4 linked regions of the Rhinolophus ferrumequinum genome follow. The protein of the gene in region 1 purifies or fractionates together with the protein of each later gene. This does not show direct contact. Links are inferred from orthologs where the notes say so. Each region holds a gene or a part of one and is shown in the gene's direction. Other genes may lie near its edges.

The links.
Region 2: the proteins of SS18 (region 1) and ARID1B purify together in Homo sapiens (affinity purification with mass spectrometry; 4 studies listed by BioGRID and IntAct, counting the BioPlex papers as one, with this or other methods). This does not show direct contact. The link is inferred for Rhinolophus ferrumequinum from reciprocal best matches to the Homo sapiens genes SS18 and ARID1B.
Region 3: the proteins of SS18 (region 1) and DPF2 purify together in Homo sapiens (affinity purification with mass spectrometry; 4 studies listed by BioGRID and IntAct, counting the BioPlex papers as one, with this or other methods). This does not show direct contact. The link is inferred for Rhinolophus ferrumequinum from reciprocal best matches to the Homo sapiens genes SS18 and DPF2.
Region 4: the proteins of SS18 (region 1) and SMARCA2 purify together in Homo sapiens (affinity purification with mass spectrometry; 6 studies listed by BioGRID and IntAct, counting the BioPlex papers as one, with this or other methods). This does not show direct contact. The link is inferred for Rhinolophus ferrumequinum from reciprocal best matches to the Homo sapiens genes SS18 and SMARCA2.

The regions. Positions count from the first base shown.
Region 1 is NC_046302.1:22,094,551-22,102,647, reverse strand, and holds the start of SS18 (protein SSXT), read left to right. Parts: upstream 1-4,820; 5' UTR 4,821-4,906; coding exon 4,907-4,975; intron 4,976-7,590; coding exon 7,591-7,667; intron 7,668-8,097. UniProt on the Homo sapiens protein: Appears to function synergistically with RBM14 as a transcriptional coactivator. Isoform 1 and isoform 2 function in nuclear receptor coactivation. Isoform 1 and isoform 2 function in general transcriptional coactivation.
Region 2 is NC_046286.1:98,773,951-98,781,679, forward strand, and holds the start of ARID1B (AT-rich interactive domain-containing protein 1B), read left to right. Parts: upstream 1-4,399; 5' UTR 4,400-4,459; coding exon 4,460-6,004; intron 6,005-7,729. UniProt on the Homo sapiens protein: Involved in transcriptional activation and repression of select genes by chromatin remodeling (alteration of DNA-nucleosome topology).
Region 3 is NC_046294.1:6,328,763-6,336,229, reverse strand, and holds the start of DPF2 (zinc finger protein ubi-d4), read left to right. Parts: upstream 1-4,103; 5' UTR 4,104-4,220; coding exon 4,221-4,252; intron 4,253-7,467. UniProt on the Homo sapiens protein: Plays an active role in transcriptional regulation by binding modified histones H3 and H4. Is a negative regulator of myeloid differentiation of hematopoietic progenitor cells. Might also have a role in the development and maturation of lymphoid cells.
Region 4 is NC_046295.1:33,833,148-33,840,590, reverse strand, and holds the start of SMARCA2 (probable global transcription activator SNF2L2), read left to right. Parts: upstream 1-4,308; 5' UTR 4,309-4,463; intron 4,464-5,081; exon of another isoform or gene 5,082-5,205; intron 5,206-5,949; exon of another isoform or gene 5,950-6,292; intron 6,293-6,445; exon of another isoform or gene 6,446-6,839; intron 6,840-7,443. UniProt on the Homo sapiens protein: ATPase involved in transcriptional activation and repression of select genes by chromatin remodeling (alteration of DNA-nucleosome topology).

The DNA.
Region 1 (8,097 bases):
TAGTTTCCAATGGCTGCCGTAATACATTACCACAATCTAGGTGGCTTAAAATAAATTTATTTTCTTACAATTCTGGAGGCCACAAGGCTGAAATCATGGTATCTACAGGACTGCACTATAATATAATGCTATTATTTTTCTTTTAAGAAACTGTATAATAAATGTGATTGTTAGGTTAGTTTACTATATATTAGAACAGTAGTTTGAATATTGAATCACTTATCAGTATTTTAGTGCACATTGCCTAATTCAGCCATAAATGTTAGATGGGAAAAAACAATCTTATTAGTTTCCTATTTCTGCTCTAACAAGTTATCACAAATTTTACAGCTTAAAGAAACACATATTATCTTACAGTTCTAGAGGTAGGATGTCCAAAATGGGCCTCACTGTGTTATAATTAAGATTTTAGCAGGTTGGTGTTCCCTCTGGAGGCTCTAGGGGAGAATCTACTTCCTTGTCTTTTCCAGCTTCTAGAAGCCACCCACATTCCTTGTCTCATGACCCCCTTCCATCTTCAAAGCCAGCAATAGCCAGTCAAGTCTTTCTCAAGATACCATAATTCTGATTATGACCCTTCAACTCACTGTTCCTCATTTATGGATATTTGTGATGACTTTGAGCTCACTCAGATGATCCTGGTTAATCCCCATATTTTAAAGTCAGCCAACTAACAGCCTTAATTCTATTTAGAACCTGAATTCCACTTTACCACGTAACCTCTCATATTCACAGATTCTGCAGATTAGGAGGTGGCCATCTTTGTCAGGATGAAATTATTCTGCCTACTGCACCCATTCATAGGAAAATTAGTTAACAATTCATAGGGAAATTAGTATATCATAATCCTCTCTGTAAATTGTGAAGCAGTTCAAGAACAGTTAGTATATTCTTTTGCTAAAGGTAGAGTAGCTACACATCATGCATAAGGTCAGATAACATGCTAAATTGGAAAAAGATCACTTAATCTCTAAATTATAGCCAGAAAATTTCCCAAGGGTAGACTGCACTAGACTGCACTATCAAGAACTTTTGAACATTTCTACTCTTAAAGTATATATTTTTCTCCTTATTAGATTAAGAACAGATCTTATCCTTGTTGAGCAATTTATAATGTGCCACGTATTTTTTTACATATTGTACATGTTAAAATTTGGGACAATCTTTAAGACTCTAATGTAAGATAATCACTTAGCACAGTGGCTGTATATAATAAATGCTAAATAAACAGTAATTAAACACCTTATTATTTCTAATAGCCTTAGGGCAGTTGTTTTTCTGTAAGGCAAATGAAATATAGAAATGGCCTGTCCAGTAGCATTGCATTGGTGGAAGAACTGGGAACTCCAAACCTGTGCATTTCTCAGTGAATTAAGGTTGCATAGAGCTTCACATAGAAACTATTTTTTTTAAAGCAATACCATCCTATAACATTAAACACCAAAATATAATTGATTCAGCTCCTCCTTAATTCAGTCTAAGTTTGATACTGTAAAAAGAGATGAAAACGCACTAAATAGGGTTTGTTATGGTCTACTTTGAATTAAATCTTCTGGAGTATTGAAAAAGTTTTATGGAGAATTGGGAAAGGTGATTTGTTCTTGCCTGGAATAATGAATATATATATTATATAGTCGCCTTATAATTTTGAAATCTGTTAAAGCGCCAACTCAAAATGACTCATCAAATGCCATGGAAAGGGTGAGCAGAAATAGTTTGAATTACCTGAGGAGTTTTGCTCTGAGCCCATTTATGAACAGACAGGCTTGGTCAATGCCTTTCCAAATGTATTCTAAGAATTTATGGCAGCACAGGGGCTTAAAATATCAGCAAATTTGATAGTCCGTGTGCTCTGTTAATTATAAAACAATATTACAGAAATGTTTGTATGAAAGTAATCTCAATTATCTGCACATGCATAATACGTTTTTTGTGGATTAAGATAATTTTTAATGCCATGATTATGTAGTTTCACAAAATATTGAGCGTATTCCTGGAGCACTTCATCAGTTCCATGAAAGGCATTTAAGGAATACAAACAAGTTCATGTAAAACAAATTAAAAATTGAAACATTGAAAATCAAACATGGACAATTTTCCTACTACCTTTTTTGAGTTAAATGTGTCTATATTTATTGGTATGAATAATCAAGATTTGTTCATGCAGATCTTTTATTTAGTCTGAGCCACTGTATATGTTCTTCTATTAGGATTATTCTTAAAAACCGTCACCTCTTCCTTGTGTGACTTCAATTCCTCTGTCAGATGTCTCAATCCAGAACAGCCTAAATAATGGGACTGATGTTTCTGGATGGGGCGATGGTTGCCTGGGTAAGCTCTTTTTTAAGTTCCCGCAGTCATTTCTCAGACTTGGGCCAACCTCCCATCTTTATTCTCCATTTTCTTAACTAAATGCTGGGGTCTCTTTATTTTCCTTTTCGTCCCAACTCTGCTACCACTAAATCTGTACCTTGGGATTCCTTTCTCTTCAAAACTAATGAAGTGAGGCAGGATTTACTAAGTGCCCTTAATTATCTTTTCCTTAACTCAAGGCTCTTACAGTTACAAAGATCTAAGAAAGTTCCTCGAGGCTACAATCTACCCTCTCATTCTCTGAATTTTCTACTTTTCCACATTAAACTGTGTTTACGAAGGAAGCATGAGAGAAAGGTAGTGTCCTATTAAAGTGTCTTCTCTAAGGGAGATGATTTGTATTTCTGGCTGGACCTTTATTCCAATGCTTCCCAACCGATTTCATGTGACAGATACATAGAAAACACATGGTATCACAGAAAAGACTGGTTATGCATGCCTCAAGTCTAGCCTGTCAGTGCCCTAGGTCCTACCCAGCTACTGTGAAGGAATAAGCGCCTTGGGCTGACCTATTACCCATTTTTAGTTGATATCCTTTCCTGTTGTTGGGGAGCTGTAATGTAAACAAAGAAAGTATCTCCTGGGTACCTCCTTGGAATAGAAGTCCCCTTAGCACTTTTTTTTTTTTAACCGAGCTATAGAAATTCAGACTATTCCTACTGGTTCATGTTGCTCTTTAAGATTTCATTGCTATCTGCCAAGCAGATACAACTGGAGCAGTAGGACAATTTGTCATTTTTCCCACTGAAATATTGTTCTTAACTACTTAGGTACTTTTATGTAAATATCAAGATGATGATAAAAGCCAGGTGTTGAACATACAGTGTTTGTGGTGGACGAGACTTAGTTTCTGAGTTCATGAGAAATTTTTCCAACATGAGATTACATTAAATTCAAATATACCAGAGTTGTTTCCCCCCCCCCCCCAGGGCTTAGAGTAGTGAAAGGCAATTAAATTCTTAAGAATAATTACCATTAGTAGAAGTATAAATTCTCTTCCCTTTATTCATAGGATGGCTCGAATTTTTTTCACGTTAGGTCTTTGTTTAAATATAGCAGAAGACTTCCCATCCTAACTCACATTGAGTGTCCCTGTCTGTTCTCAGTTCCTTGTTTGCTAGTCTTTCTTAGAACTTTACATATAGCATATTTGTTTATTTGGTTTTAGTCTGTCAGCCCTACCAGAATATAAGCTCCTTGAGAGCAGCTCCCATATTGAACTTGTCCACAGTTGTATCCTAGGTGCCTAGGATAAAGCCCATAGGTAGAACGCACCCTAATGTGCTGAATGAAACTTATGACCTTTTTGTGGAGAGCATTTATTTGAAACAAAAAACTTTATAAATTTTTTCTTTATTTTTTCAGTTTATATATAAACTGAGGGATTGATTTTGAGCCTCGTTAATTTGGGGTGACATTTTATATAAACTTTTCCTTTGTATTAGGTGGAAATGTAAATTTACAGAATAATTTAAAAAACCTCACACCAACACATAACCCACATTTGCCCATCGTCCTTACATAATTGGAGAGCTTTGTTGTTTTTCTTCCTAACAGAGTTGAAGCCTGGCAGCTTGGACCTAATTTACAAGGCACTAAGTATGTAATTGGAAAAGAGTGAGGGTTCCCTATTTCAAAACTTAATTCGAAAAATCCAAGTCAGACGAACTCGACCCGACGTTTCTAAGGGTTTGTCCCAAGCAGCGAACTCCTCCCCTGGTACGCTAGCCAAGTTGGCCGACTGCCTCTGAGTACTGGACACAGCCCTGTTTCCCGATTTTGAATCAGGCTCGCTTCCAATTGTTAGTGACGACGTGTGCGCGTGCAAGACTGTGGACTCAGAGGTGCGCATTTGGGGCGTAGCCGAGCCGTTTAAACTAGCGAATCCGCGTTCACCTAGTCCTCCACCTCTACCTCATGTCAGCAGATGCTCCAGCGGTTTGCACGGATTCCCGTGTCCTGACCTTCTTCCTCCCCTATCCGGGGTGCCTAGACAACTCGAGGAGGGGTGAGGATAAAGTTGGAAAAATTGAACTAGATCAACAACAGCGCCGAAACGCAGTTTGAGGGACATTTCAGCGCGCCGAGGAGGGAGGCAACTTGCACCCGCGTGAAAGGGGCGGGCCAGTTCGGGCCACTCGCATTTCCTGTGACAGGCGCTGCCCCAGCCTCTCACTCTCCCGTGGCGGCGGGACCATTTCCTGAATCGCAGAAGCGGAGGGAGGGCTGGGGCGCGGTCCTACCATTAGCGCAAAGAGACTGGGGGCCATGAAAGGAAAGGTAGAAGGACGAGAGGTCGATCAAAAACTGAGAAGTTCCATGGGGGCTTAGATTCTCAAATAACATTCGAAAGAGGACGTGTGTGGGCCAGAGTTCCTCCTTTAGGCCAGGCAGGCCTCCTGTTTGTTCGACATTGGAGCATCCCCCCACCCCGCATTCCCGAAGTGGTTCAGCCCGAGAGGCCGGCGTCTTTCCCCCAGTTTGCTGTTCACCGGTGCGCTCGGGACTTGCCGATAGTGGTGACGGCGGCAACATGTCTGTGGCGTTCGCAGCCCCGAGGCAGCGAGGCAAGGGGGAGATCACTCCCGCCGCAATTCAGAAGGTGAAACCTCGCGGGGACGGGGATGCCAGGCCCATCCCGCCTTTGGGAGAGACCCCCGGGGGCCGGGCCGACAGTCGGTCGGGCCGGGGGCGGAGGCGGGCCTGCTGGGAGGCGGCGGTGTGGCAACCCGAGCCACGGGCTGTGCCTGAGTGGGTGGCGGAAGACGGCGAACTGGTTCTCTCACCGAGTCCTTGGCACGTTGGGCCTCTTTCCTACAGGCACAAAAGCCCAAGTAACCGCCGCCGGATTTCTCTAGGGATGGGGCGGCGTTCGGGCTGCGGGGCGCGTGCGCCCGGCGGCGCTGATCGCGCGGGGCAAGGGCTGTTACAGCCGGCGCCCCCCGCGGCCCCGCGCGTCGCTCCGGAGTTACTTTAGCGTCGCCCCGCCCAGCGCTCCGTGGCTGCTTAGTGTAGACCCGATCTCGGGTCGCGGGAGGCCGAGGCGAAGTCGCCGCCCTCCGCGGTGCTGCAAACTCCAGCCGAGTTGCGGAACTCCGAGAACTTGGGGGACGCTACAGGGAGCCTTCATAGAATCAGAAGGGTAGGCGAGGGAGAGCCCTCTGGACTTCAGGGTTAACCTCGGAGTCCCCTTCTCCATTCCGGATTCACCCCACATCCGTTTGCGTCTCCAGCAAATTTCATTGAGCGCCATGTCTAGGCTCTGAGGCTACAGTGGTGAGCCATGGACCCTGCCTTCATGGAGTTTACAGTCTAGTGGTAGAGACAATGATAATTATAACCAATTACGGAAGTCGTGATAAATACACTGGGAGCCGCCTCCCTTTTAGAGAGTAGTACTGTCTCTTGTTGCCGTGTTACTGCCAATTAGGGACACAAAGGTTCTTTATTGTCTTCTACTCTTGTTGCCTTATGAGCAAAGCAGCATTCTAAAATTTACTCAGCCAGACTTTGAAAAGTTACTTGCTAAACTTCGTAGTTTACCTTAAATATTTCGATTTTGTTTTATGCACTGGAGTAGGGATGAAAATTGAAGAAAGGTGAGTTTTTAGTACTAAGGGCAACATCGTATGTATTACTACTACATCCTATGCCCAATAGATTTGTTCATCAGTTTCTGTTTACTGTCAGGTTCTTTGTAGTGTGCCATTTGACGTTGATTTGCCTAACTGACTTTATTTTATGAGCAAACCGGCTTGGCAGTGCTTGGGTGCTGTATTTTCATATAGTGCATTGGGCTAAGTCTGCAGTGTGGCGAACAGCTCCAAGAACACACTCAAAAACTTTTTTTTTTTGGGGGGGGAGGGATTCACTTTTTATTTTTGGACTGTAGGAAATTCCTGAGTTTTTCTTTTTTTCTACAGTTTTTCTTAAGGTATTTCTCATGGGTGATTAATTCAGGAGATGTTGATCAATTAGTTGTCATCTTCAGATGAGAAGGGAAAGTGGATTCCAAATCAAGTGCCTCGTTTTACAGTGTGAGGGATTAATTTTAGATATGAGACATTCTAACGATACAGTTTGTTAGGCTGAGAGATCTACTGAGAAGATACGTTGTGAAATGGTTTGATTGTACTAATGCATTATAAGGACAATTTTTTTTGGCATCTAGTGAGTCTATTTAAGAAATTAACAGTTAATATTTTTTTCCAGCAAGTTAAGATTATGATTCATATGCAGAAAAAAGACACAGTTACTGTTAAATGGATCTTCGTTTTTAATTGAGTTATATTAACTAAATTATTGAGATAGAGTGATTATGGTATTCTACTTCATTCGTTGTTCCTCCTGTACTTGCCCGGAGGGATGGGGCAAGTACAGGGGGAACAGCTACTCCTGTCCCTTGATCTTTCAGATAAATCTGAAATTTTAAGTGGTTTGCATGGGATAGCAAAGGTGGCACTAAAGCTAACTGGCCTTTTAATTGCTATTAATACATGAGTATTCTTTTCTCAATGTCACTTTGCTTAGATGAATTATTTAATCCTTAAAACCAATACTGCTTTAAATTGTAATAACATGATAGAGTGATAAATAGGTATGCTTTTGTTTTTACACTTTTGGGACAACTGAATTATAAGGTAAGTCTGCAATAAATTTATTATACATAAGTAGAAATTATTGTATTTGATTATTTCATGTTTGGAGAATCACAAAACCATACTGTGTAAAACTTGGAAACTGGCCAGCTATCTCCTCAAGCTTCCTGGGCTGAAGTTTTTATGTATTTACTTCATTCTGGCAAGCTTCCTGGGCTGAAGTTTTTATGTATTTACTTCATTCTGGATAAGGACAATTTTCTTTACTACTAAAAAGCATTAGAATGATAGAAAGCTAACTTGGACTCAACAGTTAGTCTTAACAGACTAAAGCTTCTATTACATATATAGCAGGGGTAATTAAGTGTTTGAATACAAAAGAAACTTCAAATTTTTCCTTCAGGGCTGCAGGTAATAACTAAAAGGGAGCATAATTGGAATAGAGTTATCTAAAAATTGTTGATTAAACATGACATTCCAGAGGTGTGAAATAAGATTTAAAAGATCTGAGTGGATTCAGTTTCTGTATAGATAAATATTTCTAGAAATTTGAAGGTCTTTTAAAAATTTTACTTGATAACACTAGATTTACAATAAACTTTTTCCAATTTTATTTCAGATGTTGGATGAAAATAACCATCTTATTCAATGTATAATGGACTATCAGAATAAAGGAAAGACCTCAGAGTGTTCTCAGTAAGATTGATATGAAAATTTTCTTTTAATTTTCATTTTTTGTGTTGAAATTTAAATTTCATTTTGTGTTAACTTTTTAATAGCAGCTTTATTGAGATATAATTCACATACCATACAATTTACCCATTTTAAAGTGTATAATTCAAGTGTTTTAGAATATTGATAAGTTGTACTACCATCATTTCAATCAATTTTAGAACATTTTCGTTATCCCGTCAAGAAACTATATACACATCAGCAGTGACTCCCCATTTCTACCACCTAATTCCTCACCCCTTGACAATCACCAATTTTTCTGTCTGTGTAGATTTGCCTGTTGTGGACATTTCATATAAATAGATTCATACAATATGTGGTCTTTTTTGACTGCTTTGTCTTAGCATATTTTCAAGATTCATCCATGCTGAAACATGTATTAGGACTTTCTTTT
Region 2 (7,729 bases), on another chromosome or scaffold:
GGCGTTGCTATCTTTCTAGGGATTTTGGAGAGAAATTGTAACAGTCTAATGTTAACTTTGACCTAAGGTTCTGGAAGTCTAGCTCCAACAATGGTGGGTTCCCAGGGGCATGTTAGAGCCATCTGAGGTTGAAGATTACGGCGAGGTGTCCACTGATGGCAGCCAACAAGACACAGCCACAGGGAAAGCTGTTGGGTGGGAAGTCCGAGCCTGCTTCTTGACTGGCCACGTCCTCCATGATGTTTCAGGGCAGCCTTTATTATGTTTTAGGGTAATTGGTTATCTCCCCTATTGAGAACAGGATCAAGGTAGTACTTACCTTTTTTATTCTCAGGGCATGTCATAGATTCTAGATAATTTTTTTTGTGAGTAAGTGTAGTTTTTCCCCAATCAGTTTTATTATCCCCACTATTATATTCTTTCTAAGTACAATAGTGCTACTGATCATCAGTCCCCAGTTTTTTAAATTACTGTTGCCTAGATCTTTTTCAAATCCTAGTTGTTTTGCATCCCAAAGTTATGGGCCACTGTTAATATGCATAGTTGTTTCAAATCAAATGTATATCCCGTATCTTGCACTAACTCAGTTATTCACTGCTAAAGTAAATCAGAGAAGTGAAAAGGACAATTGTTTAGTGCTTTTTAAAGTGCCTGACCAAGATCAGTAGGGAAATCCCATTAGCTCCATTCATCGCATTTCTCATAAATCTAAAAGGAAAGCAAGTATCCAAAGCCTTATTCTTTAATAGTTCTTATTTGTAAAACCTTGACAGGGCTTTATTCTAAATTGCTTCCAAATTATGTAAAGCATACTGAGAAATATGATGGGTAGTGAATCGTGATAGTTTCAGTTATCGAATAAATAACCAGAACAGTAAAAGGGGACTAATCTGAAAACAAACAGTGTGATGGGCTCTGATGAGGCAAAAAGAACAGAACTGTGGCATTCTTAAACTATCATCTGGCTCAATCCTCTTGAAGTGGGCAAGTCCAACAGTCCTTTATTCAGCGCCCTAAAACTTTTCAAAAAGCAGCAGTATTTGAATATTAATTTTTCATATAATTAAAAAAAGCCAAACAAACCCCAAACCCTTTTTGTAGCCAAAAGTAATGTTTAGCAAAACAACGGATAATCCTCTGGCTGCACACGAGGGCATGGGGCAACCTGTGGGTGGGAGGTCCGCTGTAGGCACCGTCACTCGGCAGCTTCCGGCCCTTCACCTCTGCGGCTTCTTGTGGCTGGAGAAACTTATTAAAGTTGTCATCATGATTTGAAGTTTAGTCAAGAGGTGTAAAAATTAGGAATTCATTACGAAAAATAAATGCGGTGATTTTTACTACCTTTTTTTAAATTAAAATATAAATGTTGAATTGCCATATATGATTATTGAAGCAAGCCACACAGTAGAAATCATGATGTATAGTTCAAATTGTGCTTTTGTGAAATGTGAACCTATTTCATCACTTTCTGACAGGCCCCCAATAATTGCCGTTTTGTTTATTAAGTCCTGGATTTTTAAATGAAACTGTAAGAGGCTTTGATTTTGTTTTCCTGAGGTGTGTTTGAAAAGTATAGGTTGAATATCTTCAGCAAGATGCTTTTTAAAAGGTATTTTAGCAGTCTCTGTGGTTTAAAAGACAAAACCAAGTCCTGCCGGCTTTGTGTTGTGCTTCTCTTACAGACTGCAGTGCCTTCTGTCTGCTTTAGGGTGTGGCATCTGCCATTGGGGAGGACAAACTGGCATGTGTCTCCTTTTATAGCAGACTGATTTCATTGTGCTGGGGCCTCTATTTCATAGCCTCTTGGTTCCAATCTTCTAGATGACTTGCTGAAGCAAATGGAATTAAAAGAGATTTTGACTTATATACCTTTTTTTGGTTTCATTTTTCTATATGAAATATTTTTAAGAAATGGGCCAGAACTGAACTTGGTGACTCATTTTCCCTTTTAGAATTAGTTTTTAAAAATAAGCCAGAAATATGGCTACACTTGTATGAATTGACTTGGATATATTTTATTGGTTTGAAAAAATGTACTGTTATGATTGTATGTATATATTTAGTTTGACTATAAATGTCTAAATGCATACATATGTAATTCATTTTAGAATATATGTATATACACACATACACAAAACATATATTTATATTTGCATACGAAAAACTTAAAAATTCAACTTATGTAGTATTATATATATACATATATATACACATATATATGTGTATATATAATTAGTATGTACTGTATTTGAATATATAAAGGGAGAAAATCAGAAGAAAAATGTCAAAAAGGCCCACTGACAAAGATGTAGTAGTCTCTTGGCAAAAACTGATGAATGATTTGGCATGAATTCATCTTACAGTTCTGTTATTCTCTTACACAGGATGATATAACCCTGTTTTCCAGCTGCTTGCATAGAACTGCAATTTGTTGTTTCTATACTCTATATAATGACCCTTGGGTGTGCATTTGATTCCCTCCCCCCATTAGTCACCTGTTTTTCCCATCTATCCTTTTCTATTTAGTCACATAACATATTGACACTTGGTCAAGCAAACAAAAATAACTACTGCACTTGAAATAAACTAAAATGGTCTTTTTGAAAAGCTGAAGAATGCAATCATTTTAGAAAACTACATTCTACCAAAATCATATATATTTCAGCTAGGGAGACCTCATCAAAGCTCTGGTTTCAAATGCTTTCTCTCCACGAAAACTGAGTCCACACTAGTACAACTGAGCCATTGCTTAGGTTAAGAATTCCTGCTATTGAAGCAATTCAAGGTGTTACTAGGTGATAAATTAACAATAAAAACACTTAAGACATCATAAAGTGATAAAACAATAGATAGTACTTTTTAAAGAACAAAGTATGAAACATTTCTACTCTAGGATTAGATATGACCAATTTATATTATGTTTGATCTTATGTTTATTAAACATAACATGTATTTCTTTTAGTTTTGTTTCCAATTGCCTAGAAACGAACTCATATCAAAAGGGTTAATTGAGCACATTAACCTCTGAAATATGGTGAAAAGCATCATATAGGTTTATGAAGTTATGGGATAAACCTTAGCTGTTGCTATTTATGACCGTTAAAATTTCCATGTGTAAGTTGTTTGGAGCATAACACACAACTCTTCATACTTTCCTTTTAGAGAGGACAAGTGCATTGTAAGAAAGACGCTCCTTTGGGAATACTTTGAGTTTTCACTGATAAGCCTACATACATATATAAGGACGCTTAAAATATAGTTATATCAACATTATCTTTGGGGCAGGTGCAGTCAATCATAAGCATTTATTGAGTACTTGCTGTGTACAGAGCACAGTGCTCCTCCGATTCGGCTAAGGATCACTTAAACTCTCCTAATTTTGCAGTTTGAAGAAGTGGGAATTATGCTGATGGCCCGAAATCAAGGCACAGAGGCTAACACTGAAAAATTACGTAACTCCTGGGAGAGACAGTCCTTTTGCACCGATTGCCCAAATATTTTCTTTCTCCGTCGGCTCCTCGTACGTAACCTTTGAGGCCAACAGACAACTTTGTTCCCCAGCCCTTCTCCCTCTTTTGTCTGCTCGTCAGACTCGTTTTCCACCTTTGTATCGTTCCTTTTAGACGTGAAAACAAACACGCGAACGCCCGGTTGGCAAGGAGACGGAGGCACGAGGGGGAAAGTGCAGCCTTCATCCGCCCCACGCCGCCGCGCTCCGGGCGCCTGCGGAGCGGGCCCAAGCCCTAGGGCCCGGGCCCGCCGGGTGCCCGGGAGGCTGCGCCCAGGCGGGCGGGCGGCGGGCGCAGGGCCCGGCGGGCGGCGGCGGCCCACCGAGTCCAGTCCACGTTTTGCGAGTGCACACGAGTAATCAGAGAGAAGTGGATAATAGTTGCTCGGGCTCGCTCGGCTCCCTCTCATGCCATGCTGGGCCCAATAGGCTCAACCAGTCGTGTATTTACCCATATCCGGGTTAGAGAGGAAAAGAGAAAAGTTTCATTTAAACCTGAACTCAAAACTTTCACCATGAAATCACACAGCGGGAACAGGCCCAGACCGTAAGGCGTGACTCCCGGTTCGGCTCCGGCGGGGCCTGTGGAGGGGGAGGGGGCTCACTCGATCCCCGTCGGGGCGTGTGGATGCGCACAGGAGGGGCCGCGGACTAAAAAGTGGGTTTTATTGTCTCCCCCCGCCCCCCGCCCGGCCTCGCCACGCCGCGGCGATCATGGCCGCGCGGGCAACAGCGGCAGCGGCGGCGCGGGCGCGGGCGGGCAGCGGCGAGCGGCGGGCGCCCCCCGGGCCGCGGCCGGCGCCCGGGGTCCGGGACCTGGAGACGGGGGCGCGCGGCGCGGCGGCGGCGGCACCGGGACCCACGCTGGGGGGCGGCGGCGGCGGCGGCGGCGACGGCGGCAGCCTGAACAGTGTGCACCACCACCCCCTGCACCCCCGTCACGAACTGAACATGGCCCATAACTCGAGCGCGGCGGCCGCTGCCGCCAGCACTAACAGCGCCAAGAGCGGCGGATCCGAGGCGGCTCTCAAGGAGGGTGGAAGCGCCGCCGCGCTGTCCTCCTCCTCCTCCGCGGCGTCCTCCTCTTCCTCCTCGTCGGGCCCGAGCTCGGCCATGGAGACGGGGCTGCTCCCCAACCACAAACTGAAAACCGTTGGCGAAGCCCCCTCCGCACCGCCCCACCAGCAGCACCACCAGCACCACCATGCCCACCACCAGCACCACCATGCCCACCACCTCCACCACCACCACCACGCATTACAGCAGCAGCTAAACCAGTTCCAGCAGCAGCAGCAGCAACAGCAGCAGCAGCAGCAACAGCAGCAGCAGCAGCAGCAACATCCCATTTCCAACAACAGCAGCCTCGGCAACGCGGGCGGCGGCGCGGCTCAGCCCGGTCCCGACATGGAGCAGCCGCAACATGGAGGCGCCAAGGACAGTGCCGCGGGCGGCCAGGCTGACCCCCCTGGCCAGCCTCTGCTGAGCAAGCCGGGCGACGAGGACGACGCACCGCCCAAGATGGGGGAGCCGGCGTGCGGCCGGTACGAGCACCCGGGCCTGGGCACCCTGGGCGCGCAGCAGCCGCCGGTGGCCGTGCCCGGGGGCGGCGGCGGCGGCCCCGCAGCCGTCTCGGAGTTTAATAATTACTATGGCAGCGCTGCCCCTGCTAGCGGCGGCCCCGGCGGCCGCGCTGGGCCTTGCTTTGATCAACATGGCGGACAACAAAGCCCCGGGATGGGGATGATGCACTCCGCCTCAGCCGCCGCCGGAGCCCCCAACAGCATGGACCCCCTGCAGAACTCCCATGAAGGGTACCCCAACAGCCAGTACAACCATTATCCGGGCTACAGCCGGCCCGGCGCGGGCGGCGGCGGCGGCGGCGGCGGAGGAGGAGGAGGCAGCGGAGGAGGAGGAGGAGGAGGAGGAGGAGGAGGAGCGGGAGCGGGAGCGGGAGCTGTGGCGGCGGCGGCCGCGGCGGCGGCAGCAGCAGCAGCAGCAGGAGGCGGCGGCGGCGGCGGCGGCGGCTATGGGGGCTCGTCCTCGGGGTACGGGGTGCTGAGCTCCCCCCGGCAGCAGGGCGGCGGCATGATGATGGGCCCCGGGGGCGGCGGGGCCGCGAGCCTCAGCAAGGCGGCCGCCGGCGCGGCGGCGGGGGGCTTCCAGCGCTTCGCCGGGCAGAACCAGCACCCGTCGGGGGCCACCCCGACCCTCAACCAGCTGCTCACCTCGCCCAGCCCCATGATGAGGAGCTACGGCGGCAGCTACCCCGACTACAGCAGCCCCAGCGCGCCGCCGCCGCCGCCGTCGCAGCCCCAGTCCCAGGCGGCGGCGGCGGGGGCGGCGGCGGGCGGCCAGCAGGCGGCCGCGGGCATGGGCTTGGGCAAGGACATGGGTGCCCAGTACGCCGCCGCCAGCCCGGCCTGGGCGGCCGCGCAACAAAGGAGCCACCCGGCGATGAGTCCCGGCACCCCTGGCCCCACCATGGGCAGATCCCAGGTAACCCCCGCGCCGGCCGGGCCTGCTTCCGCCGCGGCCTCGGCGCGCGCCGCGAGCCCTAGTTTCTTTCTTTCCGCGTACTTTTTCTGCGTCTTCTGTCGGGGGAGGTGGGGGTGAGGCGCCCAAAGCCATTTTAAGTGGTGGACGCCTCCCTTAGAGTCTGGGGAGCGCACGGTGTTCGAGTGCGCGGCCCGGGGGCCTGGCGAGGGGGTCTGGCCGAGGGCCGGGCCGGGCGCTGGCACTGCCGGCGGCCGAGCACCCCGCCTCGCCACCCCACCCCAGGCCCGAGCCGCGCGTGCCGGAGTCGGGGACTGCGCCGCCAGCCAGCCGTGTGGGCGCTGGGGACGGTCCGGCGGCTTTTGTAACCAGACCGGCGCTCCGGCCACTGTGGTCTGGGCAAGAATATTAACCTCGTCTTCTCGGTTAGCGCCAACAATAAGCATTAACTGGGAAAAGAACGAGGAACTTTGTCCTACCTCCAGCCACACCACGTTCTCTTTCGGCTTCCAAGGTGAAGGCAGGAAAAATAGGTTAGCTTTGTGGTAACCGAGTGTGGTTTTCGGAGTTATGCCCAGCCATTCAGAGATAATTCGATGCGGGCTTTGAGTTGGAATATTTACTAGCAAAAATAATACCCAAATGTACAACGATGTGAGGTGAAATATTCTAAAATATATCGATTCATTCCTAAGAAGAGCCAGGAAATCCATTATTTGGCTTACGGGCTGCTTGGAAGGAGTCACCTTCAACAGATAGGCTATGTTAAAGGAACACAGTCCGGTTACATTGAACTTATTTTGATCATGGATTTGGCATACATTTTATTCAGCAAGTCCAGGAAAATAGCAGGTCAGTGAAAATTGATCATTTTGGATAGGATTTATAAGGATTTTCTTTAATTTGCTGTCACCCAAGTCCCGCAGCGTTATTAGGAAGTGTCCTGCACTCTTGCCGCTTCTTGCTCGTAGGCTGAGCCTAAAGACTGACTTGATCTCCTTTGCAAGGTTTGGAATTTGAATTGTGGAGGTAAACTGGCTGTAATAGTCTCCAGACAGCTGCCTCTGAGTTGACATCTAATCTGCCATCTGATTGGCTCCCCTCTCACCATTGGGCATTTAGCACTGCTGATGTAAATAGTGCTGAGCAGTACAGTCACAAAATTCTTGCCACAAATAATAACTGAGCTCTATTACAAGCAGATGTAAGGTTGAATGTTATTTAAAGCTTAAATTATTGTGAATCGTATTTATTAGTAAGAGAATTAAATACATGAAAACGTTACACTGGTGTCCAGTATTCGGCATTGACAAAATTCAGATCTTTGGTAATCCTAACATGGACATTGCATGTGTCACAGCCCTTGACTGTAGAGTGAGGAGATGGCAGTTAGAAGATAATTAAAGGATTTTTACCAAATTGGGGGTTTGTTAAGCTTTATAAAAATAGGCTTTATAGATTAAACTATAAAAAAATTTGCATTATGTCATCAGACATAGTTTATTATAAATTTAAAAGTTATACTATTAAAAATTTCAAGATTCTGATATACAACAATACCTTTCAGTGAAATTTAATTAGCTTTATAACAAGATTAAAGCTGTATTTCTAGTCATTTGTTTTTAACAATTCTGACCATTTTGTTTATGGATGAGATGTTTTAGTTAGAATTGACATTATATTTAAAAAACATGAAGAGAAAACTATATAATGTTTGCAGAGAACAAT
Region 3 (7,467 bases), on another chromosome or scaffold:
AACTGACTTTTTCCCCAAACTTTTTATTTTGAAAAACTTCAAAACTACAGAAATATTGAAAGACTAGTATAATGTAGATCCATCTACCTTCACCTAGATTTGCCAATTTATTAGCATTTTGCCTCATTTGCTTTATCTCTGCATACAAGTTTTTTCCTAACCTTTTGAAAGTTAAGTTGCTGACATTGTGACACTTCATTCCAAATACTCTAGCGTGTATTTCCATTAAGTCTTTAGCTAGCTTGGGCTTTACTGGACTTCTTAAACCTGTGGCTTCATGTATTTCATTATTTTTGGAAAATTATCATTTGCTCTTTAAATATTGCCTCTGCCCCTTTCTCTCTCCTTACCCTCTGAGACTCCAATTAAATGTACCTTAGAGCTCTCTATATATCCTCTATGCTTCTACGCTAACCCTGTATTTTCTGTTCTTTTGTCTTTCCGTGATGTATTAAGGATAACTTCTTCCTACCTATTCACTGGTTCTCCAGTTCTGTGTAATCTGCTTTTTAACCAACTTGTTGTTTTCTTTGGGTTATTGTATTTTTCAGTTCAAGAAGTTCTACGTGATTCTTTAAAAATTCTGTTGTAGAAATTCTTAATAGGTGCTTGTACCCTGCAGATATTTTTATGCTTGTCTTCACCTTCTTTAAACACAGTAAGCAGTATTATTTTATGGTCATTATCAGATAATTCCAGTATCTTAAATCTTTGTGGATCATTTTGTGTTTTCTGTGGTGTGTATCAGTTCTCGTGCAAGATTTCTTTGTGTGCCTGATTACCTTTGACTGGACTGGATATCATACCTGAAAAAATTGTTTTAGAAATAATTTGAGGCCTTGGATGGCAGTACATTCCTTCAGAAAGAATATTGCTTGGTACCAAATATGCTTGCTTTTGCCAAGTGACAAGGAACATTATAAGGATGGGTCCAAGTTCAACCCAAGTTTAATCCAAGTTCAAGGCTTGAGTTTTCCTGAACCACCCAGATAATATGATTCTGGGATATTAGTCCGTAGAAATAGGAGTCCCATCTTAATGTGCGTGCTTGTGTGTGTGAGTGTGTGTGTGTGTGTGTGTGTTCGTGGTGGTGGGATATCTGACCACCGGCAGGCTCTGGGTTTTGATTTTTGATCCTCCCACCAAAGACAGCTCAGTTTCAGTTATAGCTTCCAGATCAGTAAATGTCTTCAGGACAAAAATTGCTTTGAATTCTGGGCTTACCTCTTTGGATTTCAGCCTCCTAAATGTTGGCCCAGTAATTTTTCATTATATTATTAGCTTTTGAATGGTTTTAAGATTTTTTTTTTCCCTTTCTCTGATATTTAGTTTGTCTTAGTGGGAATTAAATACCTAACCAGGAGCCTGTCTCCCATTAACTACCTGAATGTAACATTAAGAAGATCCCCTAGGTTTCATTTCTAGTTCTCCCTGCCCCCACTGGGGAATAGCAATCCTATTACCCCTTGATAATAAGAATCAATCACCCCAGCCAACAGTGCTACCCGCTTTTCACCTTCTTGCCCAGTGGATGTGGAATACAAAACGACCCACCGGCAGGCTCAGCTCCTAATTTAGAGAAATCCTTATTGTGCCTCTGGAGGAAGCATTTCTCTTCGGTCCTCACGGCTCTAGATCAGCAAAAGCCGAGTCGCAGGAACAGGAAACATTTTGCAAAAGGGTCATTAGTTGAGATGGCAAGCGGCTGCACCCCCACTTCCACTCCTTGGTTCCTGTCTGTAAGAGAAACACTATATACTCGTCACTGGTCACTGCTCAGAACATGTAGGGTATCTACTGTTCAGTGATTTCTTAAAAAAGAATCCTACAAGACCTGAAAGCCATTGGTGCTGGGCTCATAAACTGCCTTTCCGATTGTACAGAACTAGCCTCCTTAGTATTACTAATTTTTTATTTTAAAATTTTTACTGACTATACATACAGAGAAGTGCACAAATCTTGTGTAGTTCAATTCATTTTTACAAAGTGACAAACCTGTGTAACTACTACCCAGGTGAATAAAAAAAATATTACTAGCACCTCGGCAGCCACCTCCTGCCCTCTCCTTGCCACTGTCCTCTAAAGGTAACCGCTCTGCTGACTTCTATCCCCATAGATTAGTGTGTCTGTGTATGTGACTTTATATAAATGGAATCATACAAGATGTCCTCTTTTAAAACTGACTTCTTCAACTCAATATTCAGTTTTTGAGATTCATTCATGTTCTGTAGCAATAGTTTATTCTCTTTATTGTTGTTTAATCCATTCTAACTGTCGTGGGCATTTGGGATGTTTCCAGTTTGGGGCTATTACAATTAATGTAAACATTCTTGTACGTGCTTTTTGGTATATAGATCCACACATGGAAATTCTGGATCAGAGTATGTGAGTGTTCAGCTTTAGAGCTAGCACACTGCTTTTGTTGGCTCAGGCTGCTGTAACAACATACCATAGACTAGGTGGCTTCAACAACAGACATTTATTCCTCCCAGTTCTGGAGGCTCAAGATCAACGTGGCGACAGATTTAGTTCCTGGTGAGAGCCCACTTCCTGCCTTGTAGACATCTGCCTTCTGGCTGTGTCCTCACAAGGCTTTCCTCGTGAAGAGAGATCCATCTTCTTACAAGGACACTAATCCCATCATGAGGGCCCCACCCTCATGACCTCACCTCACCCTAATTACCTCCCAAAGGCCCCACCTTCAAAAACCATCACATTGGGGGTTAGGGCTTCAACGTGAATTTTTTTTTTTTGGCGGGAGGACATTTAGACCATAACACATCTTTCTGACTCTCGCATTGGAGTCACCTCTGACACCTTTTGTCCTCCCAATCATTCAGTTCCCAGGGGTAAAAGAGTGCACCAGTATTATCTCTGGTTTTTCTTCCAGGCTGCTGACACCTATTGTGCAAGTTTGATGGAAGGCAGACAATGACACATACCTCTCAACTGTCATCTGCCAAACACGATTTTAAGGCACAGTGATGGTAAGATGTGCCCTGATTCTGAATTATTAAAATGGGGGGGAGAGAGGACATGGAATATGTGCATCTTGGAAATGATGAAATAAGGTATATGACAGGGACAAAAGACCAAGCCCTGGAGACTCTGACAGTTACAGGTGGAACAGACGTCGGAGAGCCAGAAAAGGCTGAAGGAACTGACAGTGTGACAGGAGGACAGCCAGGTGCATGCCTCAGAAACGTGGTAAGGGAGAGACTGGTGGTCACTTGTGTCATGGGGTTGACAGGCTGTTGGGGACAGAGGAGATCTCTAAGTCTGTTGATTTTTGTTAGGGGCTATTTCAAGTGAACTGGTGGGGGGAAACATCCCCATTAAATTGGGCAGAAAGACTTGGAAATAAGTCAACAGAGATAGGGAATATAAACAGAACACTTGCTATGAAAAGGTAAAAAGAAATAGGGTGATAAATGAAGACATGGACTTAAGGAAGAGCTTCGCTTTCTTTTAAAGAGAATATTAAGCCATGTTTGTACACGAATTTGCATGGCTCAACAGTGAGGGAGAAATTAATTGTACAGATGAGAGAAGAACAGTTGCAGGAAGGAAGTTCTTCAAAACCTAAGTGGAGGGAAGGAGCTTAGATAGGAGTAAGAAGCAAGGGAGAAGAGATGGGTACCAGTGCAGTTGGTGGGTGAGTTTGGTGGCAGGAAGATAACTTTATCAGACCCCAATATTTAGGCCAAAGAACTGCCCAGTTCTAGGCATTAATTTTCCTCTCCCTAAAATGGGAATAGTATGTCTGGCGGCCCAAGTGAACTATGCACCACTCTTACCTTCCGCTACCCACCTGTGACTGAGAGCAAAGAGTTAAGCACGAGATTAAAGATGAGCGAGGTTGCAGGACGCATGCACTCCATCTAGCCCACCTCTGGGCCTGCCAGTTTCACCAACCTCTCGCCTTCTCCTTTCTGGACCAGGGTAAATCCCGCTCCCGCTCCTCCAAATGGAAGACGCAGGGCTCAAGCAGGAGGCTGGGGCGCGCGCCCGTACCCATCGCGCCTGCGCGTCGGGCTCCTCGGCTCTCCGGCCGCGGGAGCGGGCGCCAAGCGGGTTCTCCGCCGCTCGCTCTGGAACGCGCGCGCGCTCGGGCGGCGCCTGCGCAGAGGGACAAGGAAACTAGGTCCCCCCCGTTAGGTCCCGGCGCCTGCGCGCTGCAGGCTCCGGGCCTCCCGGCCTGAGGGAAAGGAGCAGGGAAGATGGCGGCCGTGGTGGAAAATGTAGTGAAGCTGTGAGTGGTCATTTCTTTCTCTCCTAGGCCGGGAGGTCTTGTAAGGGGCCTGGGAGGAGGGGGCTGGGCGGGAATGGACGAGGCGAAGAGAGGGACGTGCCGGGGAAGGCCATGTTGCGACTCCTGCTGTGGAGGGCAACAGGAGACTCCGGAGAAGACGTTGCGCTTCTTTGGAAACTTGTGGAGGCCCTGAGGGGGGCACACGGGAGCTCCTGACGGGCAGCTTCCCTGGGCTGTGTGAGGCTTACGGTTTCCAGATTATGGCTCCCTTGTTGCGTACGAGAGACACAGTTCCGGGGTCCCTTCCGAGACGCCGCAGTCCGGAGGAACCCGGCGGAGGGCGGACCCGGGAACGACCAGTGTCCCCGCGAAGGCCGGCCACCGACCCCTCCCGGTCGACTAAGCGGCCCTGGAGCAACAGGCGCGGCACCTCCACGCGGTTAAGCACCGCGGGGCAGCCCCGCGGCGTGTGTGTGTGTGGGGTGGGGGGTGTCTTAGGTAGCAGGTATTCAAGACCAAAAATATTCTCGGGAAGAATTTGTTGAGCAGATACAGAAGGGAAAGAACTTCAGGGGAGAAGGCCTTTGAGCTGGCCAGTCCCAGACATCAAAACACGGGAGCTGGACGGCAGGATGCCTTTGCAGCTGGAGGCGCATCGAGGGCGGCAATACTCTTGTGCTGGGCAGATTTCGAGCAAAGTTAAAGTTAATGGTTGTTGGGGAAATGGCCTGTTAGCTATGAGTTCGAGATGCTTTGGGAGTTGATTTAATACAGCCTCCTCCCTGACGAAGAATCTGAATGGGTTTTGAAATGGGTTCGTGCCCCGTTGGGCCAATAGAACAAGCTCCTGTTAATTGGGCTTGGTGCAGGGGTAGGTACGTTGAGAGGTGTCTAGTTGTCCAGCCAGGGCTTTCGGATTTTGACTGGATGACAAGGTAAAGGTTTGGGAACTATTCTAAAGCTTCTCATTTGTCTTTGTGGTGGGCTGAGTCCCACTCTTCCCAAGAGCCTTTTATAAGGTACATTGCTTCTCCCCGCCTCCCCTGCCTGGAGCCTTTTCTTTGAGAAAGCTTTCCCACTTCCATTAAGCTAAGTGCCTTCTCCTCTTGTGGTTTTTTTCTTTTTTTTTTTTTTAAATTTGCTTTCAGCTCTATCCTGCTGCCTTTTTTCAGCCATCCCTCCTCCCATCACTGTTATCTTTCTCTGTGATCTGCCCACTCCAGTTTCCTCAGCTCTCTCTTCAGGCTGACATTTCCCTCAATTTAGAAATAATCTACCATTTATATAGTTCTTCTTCCTGACTCAGATGTTCTTTCTTTGTTTCCCTGCCTTTCTCTTTGTTGACTCCCCCCACCCCATTGTAAGGGGAGGTTTTACACAGGTTTCATGCTTCCTGAAAAAGAATCAAAGCTTCTACCTCGCAAATCTTACTACACTGGAAGAATGTCCGACTGGCCTAGGTTTTGAGAGTGTTATGTAATGAGATTTTTTTATGAAGGAAGACTTTCTTCCGGGAAATAGGATCGCCAGCCCTTTTGTGTAGTGTTAGAAGTGGGGAGTTGCCCGATTAAATAGAGCAAGATTTCTTATTTCTCTTTAAAGAGCTATAGAGATTGTGAGGGTCACCAGCCACTGGTTCCTGAGTACCAGTAATGAGAAACCAACTTTCTCCTCAATTGTAGTTGCAGAGGGCTGTGGATCACAATGAATACATTTTCCTACAGAACTTTCCCTTTAAGAAGAGGCTTTCATTCCTGTACCACTCTCACCCTGTGAGATGTTTTTCTGTTGCTCTCTTGATCGTGGTGTGTCTCGTCTTCTGACAGCTGAGGTTGTATTCATCGAGGTCAGGACTACCAGCTCATCTTTTCTGACTTCCATCTGTTTTGGGAGAAGAATTGCCCTATTTGTAAATTCTCTGTCCCTCCCAAATGTGGTATCAGAATTGAAACAGTCTTTAAGGTGTCTTACTAAGGTAAAATAAGAGTACTAAATAGCTGTGGCTGCTGACTAATTTTGATACCTTCTGATTAGATAACAAGATCTAGAGAATAATGTCAGCTTGAATTTTTTGGGATAGGATCCTTCATTTCTTCAAGAGCTCTCTCATTCTCTCTTGCTCTCTCTCCATCAGATCCTCTCTCCCCCCAATTTGTGTTTCAGTCCCAGCTCTCTTACTCATGGGACAGTTTGCCTCACCTTCTGAAATTCCCCTTAACTCACAAGAACTTTACTCTCCATTCCCCCCCAAGCTGTTCCTTGCAGCTCTCAGCCCATCTGGCCCTTCCTTCCATTTGACTTCCAATGTCAGTATCAATTCCCATCAGCAGAAACAAAGTAGCTGCTGCTCTCAACCTTGTTTATCCGATTTTTCTGTGTTAGGAGGACATGGCTGCCTCCTAAAGGCAAGCCAAGGTGAGCCTGTTCTGTGCTCTCCACTCGCCAACACAGGATTCATGCTGCCTCAAATCACAGGGATTACAGCTCATTGAATCAAACCAGGCTATCTTGTGGTGTCACCACCTTGTGTGTGGTGTGTTTTTTCATTTGCTAGGAACTTGCTAAGCTGTACCTAAGTGATCTATTGTGGCTGCTCAATGAAAGCTCCCCTCTGATTCCAGAGAAGAGTTTGTTGGTGTAGCTCAAGTTACGTACATAAGCCACACAGACTTACTCTGTCCAGCTTCTCATGCAAGGGGTCTCCCTCTCATAGAATATGTTAGAACTTATCTAATCCAACCTCCCCAGTCTATACCTGTGCGTGTTTATTTGGTGACTTTCATCCAAGCCAGGTCTTCTTACTCCTAAGTCAAATCAAGATGCCCCAGACACCTTACCTTCATGGGTACTGGGAATACTGTGGGAAAGAAATTGCCTCTGCCCTTTGTTTAAGATTATCAAATATATAAATACGAATTGTTATAGTTTAAGCTCCAGTGCTAAAGTGTTTGTTAAGCCCTGAGAACAAGATTGGTTCTATATACACACTTAGAACCAGATAACTCCTGGCACTGTGCAGTTTTCCAGCTTCTTAGAGCACTTAAAGATTTACCCTTGATTGAGATTTCAAATTGAGTCTTTTGAGTCCAAAATTCTTTCCTATATACAGTGGTACCTCGGTTTTCGAACGTCTCCGTTGATGAACATTTCGGTTTACGAACGCCGTAAATTTTATGGATCTATGGTATCATTAGATAGTAAAGAAAAACTGCTAA
Region 4 (7,443 bases), on another chromosome or scaffold:
CACTTAGTAATCTTGTTCATTAACATGATAATTAGTAATGAAGACCTGCTAAATTCTCTGTCAGACAGTTTTAATATATGTCTCTCATCCTTTCATTCAACAGTTTTTTTCCTTTTCTTTAACAATATACAGTAGTCCCCCTTTGCCAATGGGGATATGTCCCAAGACTCCCAGTGGATGCCTCACACCACAGATAGCATCGATCCCTATTTATACTGTTTTTTCCTACACATACATACCTTTTCACTTAAAGGAAGCACTTGATGACTTCTCCTTGGCTTACCCAAATTGCCAGCATCACTACTCTTGTGATATTGGGCCATTATTAAATAAACTAAAGGGTATTTGAACACAGTCACTGCAATATAGTGACAGTCCACCTGATTGTCTAGAAAGCTACTAACATATGGGGAATGTATACCGCATGGAAACGCTGGACAAAGGGATGATTCTGGATAGGAAAGAGCAAGACTGCGTGAGCTTTCATTGTATTACTCAGAATGGAGTGCAATTTTAAACTTATGAATTGTTTATTTCTGGAATTTTTTATTTAATATCTTGGGACCAGGATTGACTCCAGGCAACTGAAACCATTGAAAACGAAACTGGATTTGGAGGGGGACTACTGTACAACGTGCTAGGCATCCAGCTAATTGCTGAAGTTTCAAAGATGAATTGAACTTGCTTTACACCCTCCAGGCACCAACCATCTAGTGGAGGATAGCAAATAATCGTATCAAAGTGATAAGTGCTGTAACGGCCATACACACTGGTTGCTATGGGAGCAGAATAGGATAAGTGGCTTCCTCTGCCTAAGGAGGGCAAGGAGGGCCACTGGAAGGATGCTGGGCCATAGCTGACTCTTGGAGTATGTGTACTGAGAACCTGTATTTCAGTCAGAGGAATGTATGTCCAATATGGCCCCTTAGGAACCAGGTGGTAGACCATGTTTCCAGAGCTTAGGCATTTGGGGAAGGAGAACAAGCCTAGCAGAGAGATCTGTCCATGCACACTGCCTTGGATGGATGACACGCTAAGAAATCTGAAATTTATCCTATGATGGATTGGGAACAGACAAAAGCTTTTAAGCTAGAGAGTAATATGCTCACAAAAAGAATTGGGGTGGCATTTTGGAGGAGTGATTGTAGAGAAACAAAATCTTCTGAGACGATTGACTAGAAAAAAAGGATAGAGAGGAGTGTTTATTTCTGCAATAAATTTACTTGCTAATTCTAAACTCTCTCTAAATTAAATGTCAACTGTTCACTTTGTCAGAGTTTCGTTTCCATTACTGCAGATGAAGCACTCATGCCTTAAATGGTCTTACCTTCAAGCCCATTTGAAGTTAGGCAACATTTCTTTCAGTCAGCGTTAATAGTTTGCCTAGTGGGACTAGAAGATTCCTATCTTTGTGCATGGAAATTTTCTTCATGAGGGTGTTGTGATACCGATTTTCAAACCCAGTATCTACCGTATACAGAATGTCCACCATAACAGACTTACATAAAAAGTGAACGTGGCCATACAGACATGAAAAAGTGACTTCTAGCCCTTGATCCCAAACTAGAAAGAGCAAGTTCAGAGAACGCATTATGACTCATCTAAGTCCAAAAGGAAAAGTTTCATGTGAATATAGCATCCTGTGCGGCCTCCCAGTTTTTTTAACCTCCAACCATGTTTGCTTTTGTGTGATTTTCTGCAAAACAAAAAAACCTCATCTTTTTTCTCCTTAACATCAGTTGTTAAGTTTTGCTTTACATCAGAGATAAAGCTCACGCTATATGTTCTACAATCTTTTCATAATGAGTGAATGGTGCTGCCTTTTGATTTTTTCTAAGTGTAGGTCTTGTTTTATAATATTCCTACTTGCTACAGTATAAGCTACAAACAAGACGATTCTTTAGAGAAAAGACCTGAAATAAGGTGGTGTTTTCTTAGACCAATGTGAAGGGAAAAGGAGATGGAATATCTGTATTTAATCTCTGCTCCCAATCATAGATTTTATTTTTCAATTCCCATAGTTTTGCATATAATGCATGGATACCCATCCCTCCAGGTAATGCATCAAACTTTTGTATTAGCTGAAGAATATATACATGGAACAAAGGCAACTTTCTTCTTTACTTTCCTTCTAACAAAATGCCAGAAAAAAATGGCCAATCTCTTACTCCAGTTTCTTACTAAGATGATTGTTCTCTTTTTGAAATTTGGCATGGCAGGTGGAGGTAGAATCTTAAAAGGATAAAGGGCACTTATGCGCAAGGAAATAATGGTAAAGTCATCAATTTCTAAAAATTGGCCTGTGAGGTTGACATGGCAGAGAAACAAATTAGGTCCACCAAAATTAAAACTTAATATTACCTAATGTAATGAGTATTGCCATAAGGTTAAAGTCCTTCTGTAGATAACTAGATTATCCGGCTATATTATTAGTTGCAATTTAATAGGCAGTTAGAAGTTATACTTTTACTACATTGCTAATTTTGTTTAAGACTTCTGGCTGTGTATTTCCCAGTTAACAGTTATACTGGCATATCCTCAGGCAGAAAACGAAGTTCTCACAAAAGATTCTTCAGTGCATACTGTTTTTTATTTCTCTTAGATGTGTTATATTTGTTGTCTTGAGGTTCACTTTTGGGATAGGCAGAAAATTATGAAGCTCAAGTTGACAAGCAAGATAACAGGGCCTTAGAAAAACAACAGGGTGGGTGATCCTTGACACACCTAGCCACCTGAAAGTGGTGCCCTTGCAGACTGTCCTTCCTCAAGCAGTGGACCAGCAAAGTGAACAATTCTCGCCACTTAATGACCACATGCAGCATTTGGTGTTCTTTCATTGCTTTGTGTCTTCAGTGTACCCACTGCATAGTTTTAAGCATCCTAGAATTGCATTTCAGACCTGATTGCTCAAATAGAGTCAATTTTGCAACAGTAAAATGGCCTTAAAATAGGATTTTACTCTAGGGGGAAACATCCTCAACCAAGTAGTCACTGTGCACTTTGAATGACTAATTTAAACCATTACATTACAAAATAAGGGATAAATCATATTTTTCAGAACAGTACAGTATAGGAACAGTTTTAATTTTAAGAGTCAAGCACCGTCATTAATCTGAGTCTAAAATAATAGGCCCCTGATTTTAAAATCTAACATTCTTTCACACTTCATAAAACTAAAAATAAAATTGTCTCAGCAAACACTGACCTGTTCCTCCCGCCAAAGTACTGTATTTCAAGGAAAATTGGAACAAGAGGTCTCAAAACCGCAAAGTGCCAGCAGTTTACTGTTTGTAGCCCTAATTGGTCTTAAACGTGGGGTGGGAGAGAAGATTCTATGGTCTGTAGAGAATAAGAGATTTATTCCCCTTCTTAAATCAAAAGCAGATTCTATGCTTAAACTGCCCCCTAACCCGCCCGCCCTGCCCCCACAGGGTTGTTTTTCCAAATTTTTGAATATATTTTACCGAAGATGACAAGTGAGGGAGGTCAAAGTGCTGTGTCTGGTCCACAAAGTAAACAGACGGTTTAGGGCGGGTTTATTTATTTATAAGGCGTTCAGCCTCTCAGCTGTTTTCCCCTCATTGGCATTTGGAAGCTTGCAGTCCTTTAGAAAAGAGGTAGATTTGGCAGGAATGTTCTTTGTGCCCTCCTTCCTTTTGATGGGGGAGAAGGGGGCCGATTTATAACTGCAGCCTCGGGTCGCGGGCGGGGGGAGTGAGGAAAAAGTTTCAGCCGACACAATGCCTTCCCCCCCCCACAGTCAACACTATGCCACAAACCGCTTTGGTGCCACTCGGAGCCCTACCCGTGTCCCCTCCCTTTCCCTCTGCAGGCTCGCTCTGGCAGGCGGAGGCACCGTTAAATTCCAGCACCTTCTTCACATACCCCCAAACTACTACACGCTATTACTACGGTTGCCCTCCCCCTTTCGCTTCGCCTCCTCCGCTTCCCCAGCTTCCCGGGAGGAGCCCGGCAGCGCCCCTGGAAGAGGTCTACCCGGAGAGGGATAACGGGCGCCCAGCTCCATCAAGCCTTGGGGCTCTCTGCGTCCTGCGCAGTTTCTCTGCTCCAGGCACAACCACGGCTCGAGAGCCGGCGCCTTGCAGACACACACCGATCCACGCATACAGTAGAGCTGTCTCCGTCCACATTCTTGCACACCGCCCCCTCCTCCCCCCGAGCTCCCGGAGTCGCTGAGCGGGTCGAGTGACAGGCGCGTCCCACCAACCCGCGCTGGGGCGGGCAGGGAGGAGCGGCGCGCGGGGCCAACTGCGGCGCGTCTTCCGGCGCCTGTGGAGGAGGCTGAGGGTGGGACGCGGGGCGGAGCCGGAGTTTAGGAAGAGGAGGGGATGGCTGTCATCAATGAAGTCATATTCATAATCTAGTCCTCTCTCCCTCTGTTTCTGTACTCTGGGTGACTCAGAGAGGGAAGAGATTCAGCCAGCACACTCCTCGCGAGCAAGGTAAATATAACTTACAACTCCTTTCTCCTCTTTCCCCTCCCTCCGGCCTCCCGGCTGCAGCCGCCGCACAAACCCCTCTGGCACCGCGCCGCCTTCGCCGGGGATTATTCATTATTATCCTAATTATTATTTATTGTGCATGCACAGAGACCAAAACAAATAGGCGGGCCAACCGCCACAACAACAACAAAAAAAGCCCGCCTCCTCCCCGCGGGCCTCAGGTGGAATGCTCTAACGACAGCACCCGGGCGGCGGTGGAAGAAACGGGAAAGTTTCAACCGAACCTTGCTGTTCTAATAATAACAGTAATAATTACTACTTCAAGGAGGCGGGGTGGGGGGGAATTCCCAACAAACCACAGCCTTGACCCTGGGTAGGCAGTCAGCGATGCGCTGCCAACTCAAGGTTGCAATACACACACTCGGCAAGGTTGCAGTCCCCCCCCCAACCCCTTAAAAGCCGGAGGGGGTGGGGGGTGGGAAGGAGGGGAAGGCAGGAGGATACAGGAGGAGGATGGAAACGCGACAGTTCATCCCGAGCAGTCCTCCCCGGAAGAGTTGGAAGAGGAGCGGGAGAAGGAGGCAAGGAGCCCGGGCTTGCGGCGGGGCGCCAACCAAAGCGGCTGCTACCCGCTTCCCGGGGACTAGTTTAAAGGGTTCCGGCTGCGGAGACCTGAGCGGAACCCTGCAGGAGAAGCTTGAGCTGGCGCGCCGAGCAGAAGGCTGCCACCGCCGCGGGGTCTGTGCGTGTCGGATCGGAGGTGTCACCTCCACTTTGCGCGTTCCCTCGGGCGGGGATGGGAATGCTGACCCGTAGGCAGGCCTTTAGGGGAAGGGGCCGCCGCGGAGCTGTGCCCGGGGCTCTGCGGGCGTCCCTGCCCCTGGTACCTGGCAGCCGCGCGGGCTCGGGTGTTGAAGTTCGGGGTGTCGGGCCCGGGCCGCACTGCTGGGAAGGAGGGAGGAGGCACCGAAGAAGGAGGTCGGAGGTGCCAGCCGGGCTCAGTTACGCTGCCTTCCTCCCCTTCCTCCCCCTGCACCCGGGTTTGTCTTGTTTTGCTTTGCGCCTTCCCCAAGCTGGAACCGCGGGAACCGCGGGCATAGATCGCCCCAAATCGTCTGGGTGCTAGGGGCGCTTTGGGGCCCGGGAGAGCCACGGTGGTTGCGGACCGGGAGGCCATGATCCAGATAATCCTCTCTGCCTGTCACAAACAGTACCCGCGCGCACGCCGGCAGTAGCGGTGGCGTTCGCCGGAGAAGGGGAAGGGCTGCGGGGGGTTGGGGGGGTGGGGAAGCAATGGGGGGGGGGGGGAGGCGAGGGCTGGAGGCGGGGAGACCCGATGGGAGCCTCCTCCCAACGATGACACGCACCCCTTCTTTCTCGTTCCCTGCTTTCGAGTTGCTTTATTCCCATTCCAACCTTTTTTACCCTTTCCTCTGCTCTTCCCTCTATCCGGCCGGCCCTCTTCCCTCCTCCCGTTTGTGTTGCAAAACATGGCCATGCCATCTGCAAAGGTGTCGAGATGCACTTCCCCAAATAACCGGTCCGGCGCGCCAGCCCCTAGGCGCCCTCCGGCTGCGGGGCGCACACAGAGTCCAGTGCCAAGGGTGCCCCGCACCAGGCCTCGCAGCCTGGGCGTAGTTGCACCGAGAGGGGCCGGGCGCAGCAGTGCGGGCTCGCGGAGACACCCGCGCCCTTGTCTGGGCACTCGGGCCGGTTTCCGGTACACGCGGGGAAATCGCCTCCTGCCAGTTTCTGGGCGCTCGCCCCTGCCCCGGCCGCCAGGATTGCATTATTATTTTTATCCGGGTTGCTGTTTGCGGCGGATCCTGGTGAGCGCGGGGCTGGCTGGGCTGCTAGGGTGGGGGTTGGGGGAGGGAAGTTGGACGCGGATCAGGCAGGAAAAAAAAGTTTGGCAGGGCAGCTAAGTGGGGTGGGGGGGGTGGAGGGGTAGGAGAGGGCGGCGAGCTCCGGCGGCTTGCGTCTCGGCGCCCTCGAAGCGGGCGCGAGGGTGTCTGCGCGTGAGTGTGTGTGTGTTTTGTGCGCGCCGGGTCCAGTGCGTTGGGAGCAGGGCGCGGGCCCTCCCCCGGAGCTCGGGGAAGACCTGGCGAGATTTGGAGGAGGGGGCTGGTTGGGGTGGAGTGTGCGTGTGGCTGTGAGTGTGAGTGTGCGCGCCCGAGCGGCAGAGAATCAGGAAGTCACAGCAGCGAAGCGCACACAGACATGTTTGATCGCCGTGACATGACGCGCGCGAGGGAGGAAGCGGCGGCGGGGGCCCGGCCGCGGGACCCCGCGCAGGCCTAGGGCTTCGGCGGGGAGACCCGCTTCGGGTCGCCAGCTGCACAGCCACGGCTCCTCTTTTTGTTCCGCGTCGCCCAGGTAAGCAACCTTCGCCGCCGCCTGTTGTGTGCGGAGCTTTCCAGCACTTTCCCTGCCGACTCCCTCCCGTCTCCCCGCTCTCTTTTCCTGCAGTCAGGCAGGCGGAGGAAACGGGCTCCTTCCCTCCGATCGATCGCGTGGAAAACTTTAGAGGGAGGCATCATGCGGAGGAAGGCGAAGGCCTTGCTGGCTGTTGTCGCTTGTCATTTCTTTCTCCTGCGGGTCCGGAGAGTGGAGTCGCTGCGCTCTGGGGCTGTTGCACTTTCAAACTTCGGGCCTAAACGTGCCTTCAACTCTCGCAGGATTTACTCTAGCAATAAAATAAGTATTTAGAGTCGTTCACTTGGTCTTGCCAGGGTTTGGATTTTTTAAGAGAAGAAAACAAGGCTCGGGAGTCGAGGGAAGTGGGGGTGTTGTGCAGAATCCATGCCTTCTTTAATGTCTGCACAGGCTGTTATGTAATTTTAGTGGCACATGGGTGCAAAGCCCATTCTGGGCTTCTCCCCTCCTTTGTTTATATAACTTTTGGGAGAGTTTTGCAAGGTTGTCGCCTTTTCCCCCTCCCCTTGGTGCTTTTGAAACAGCAAAGTGACCCAGGTTAGAA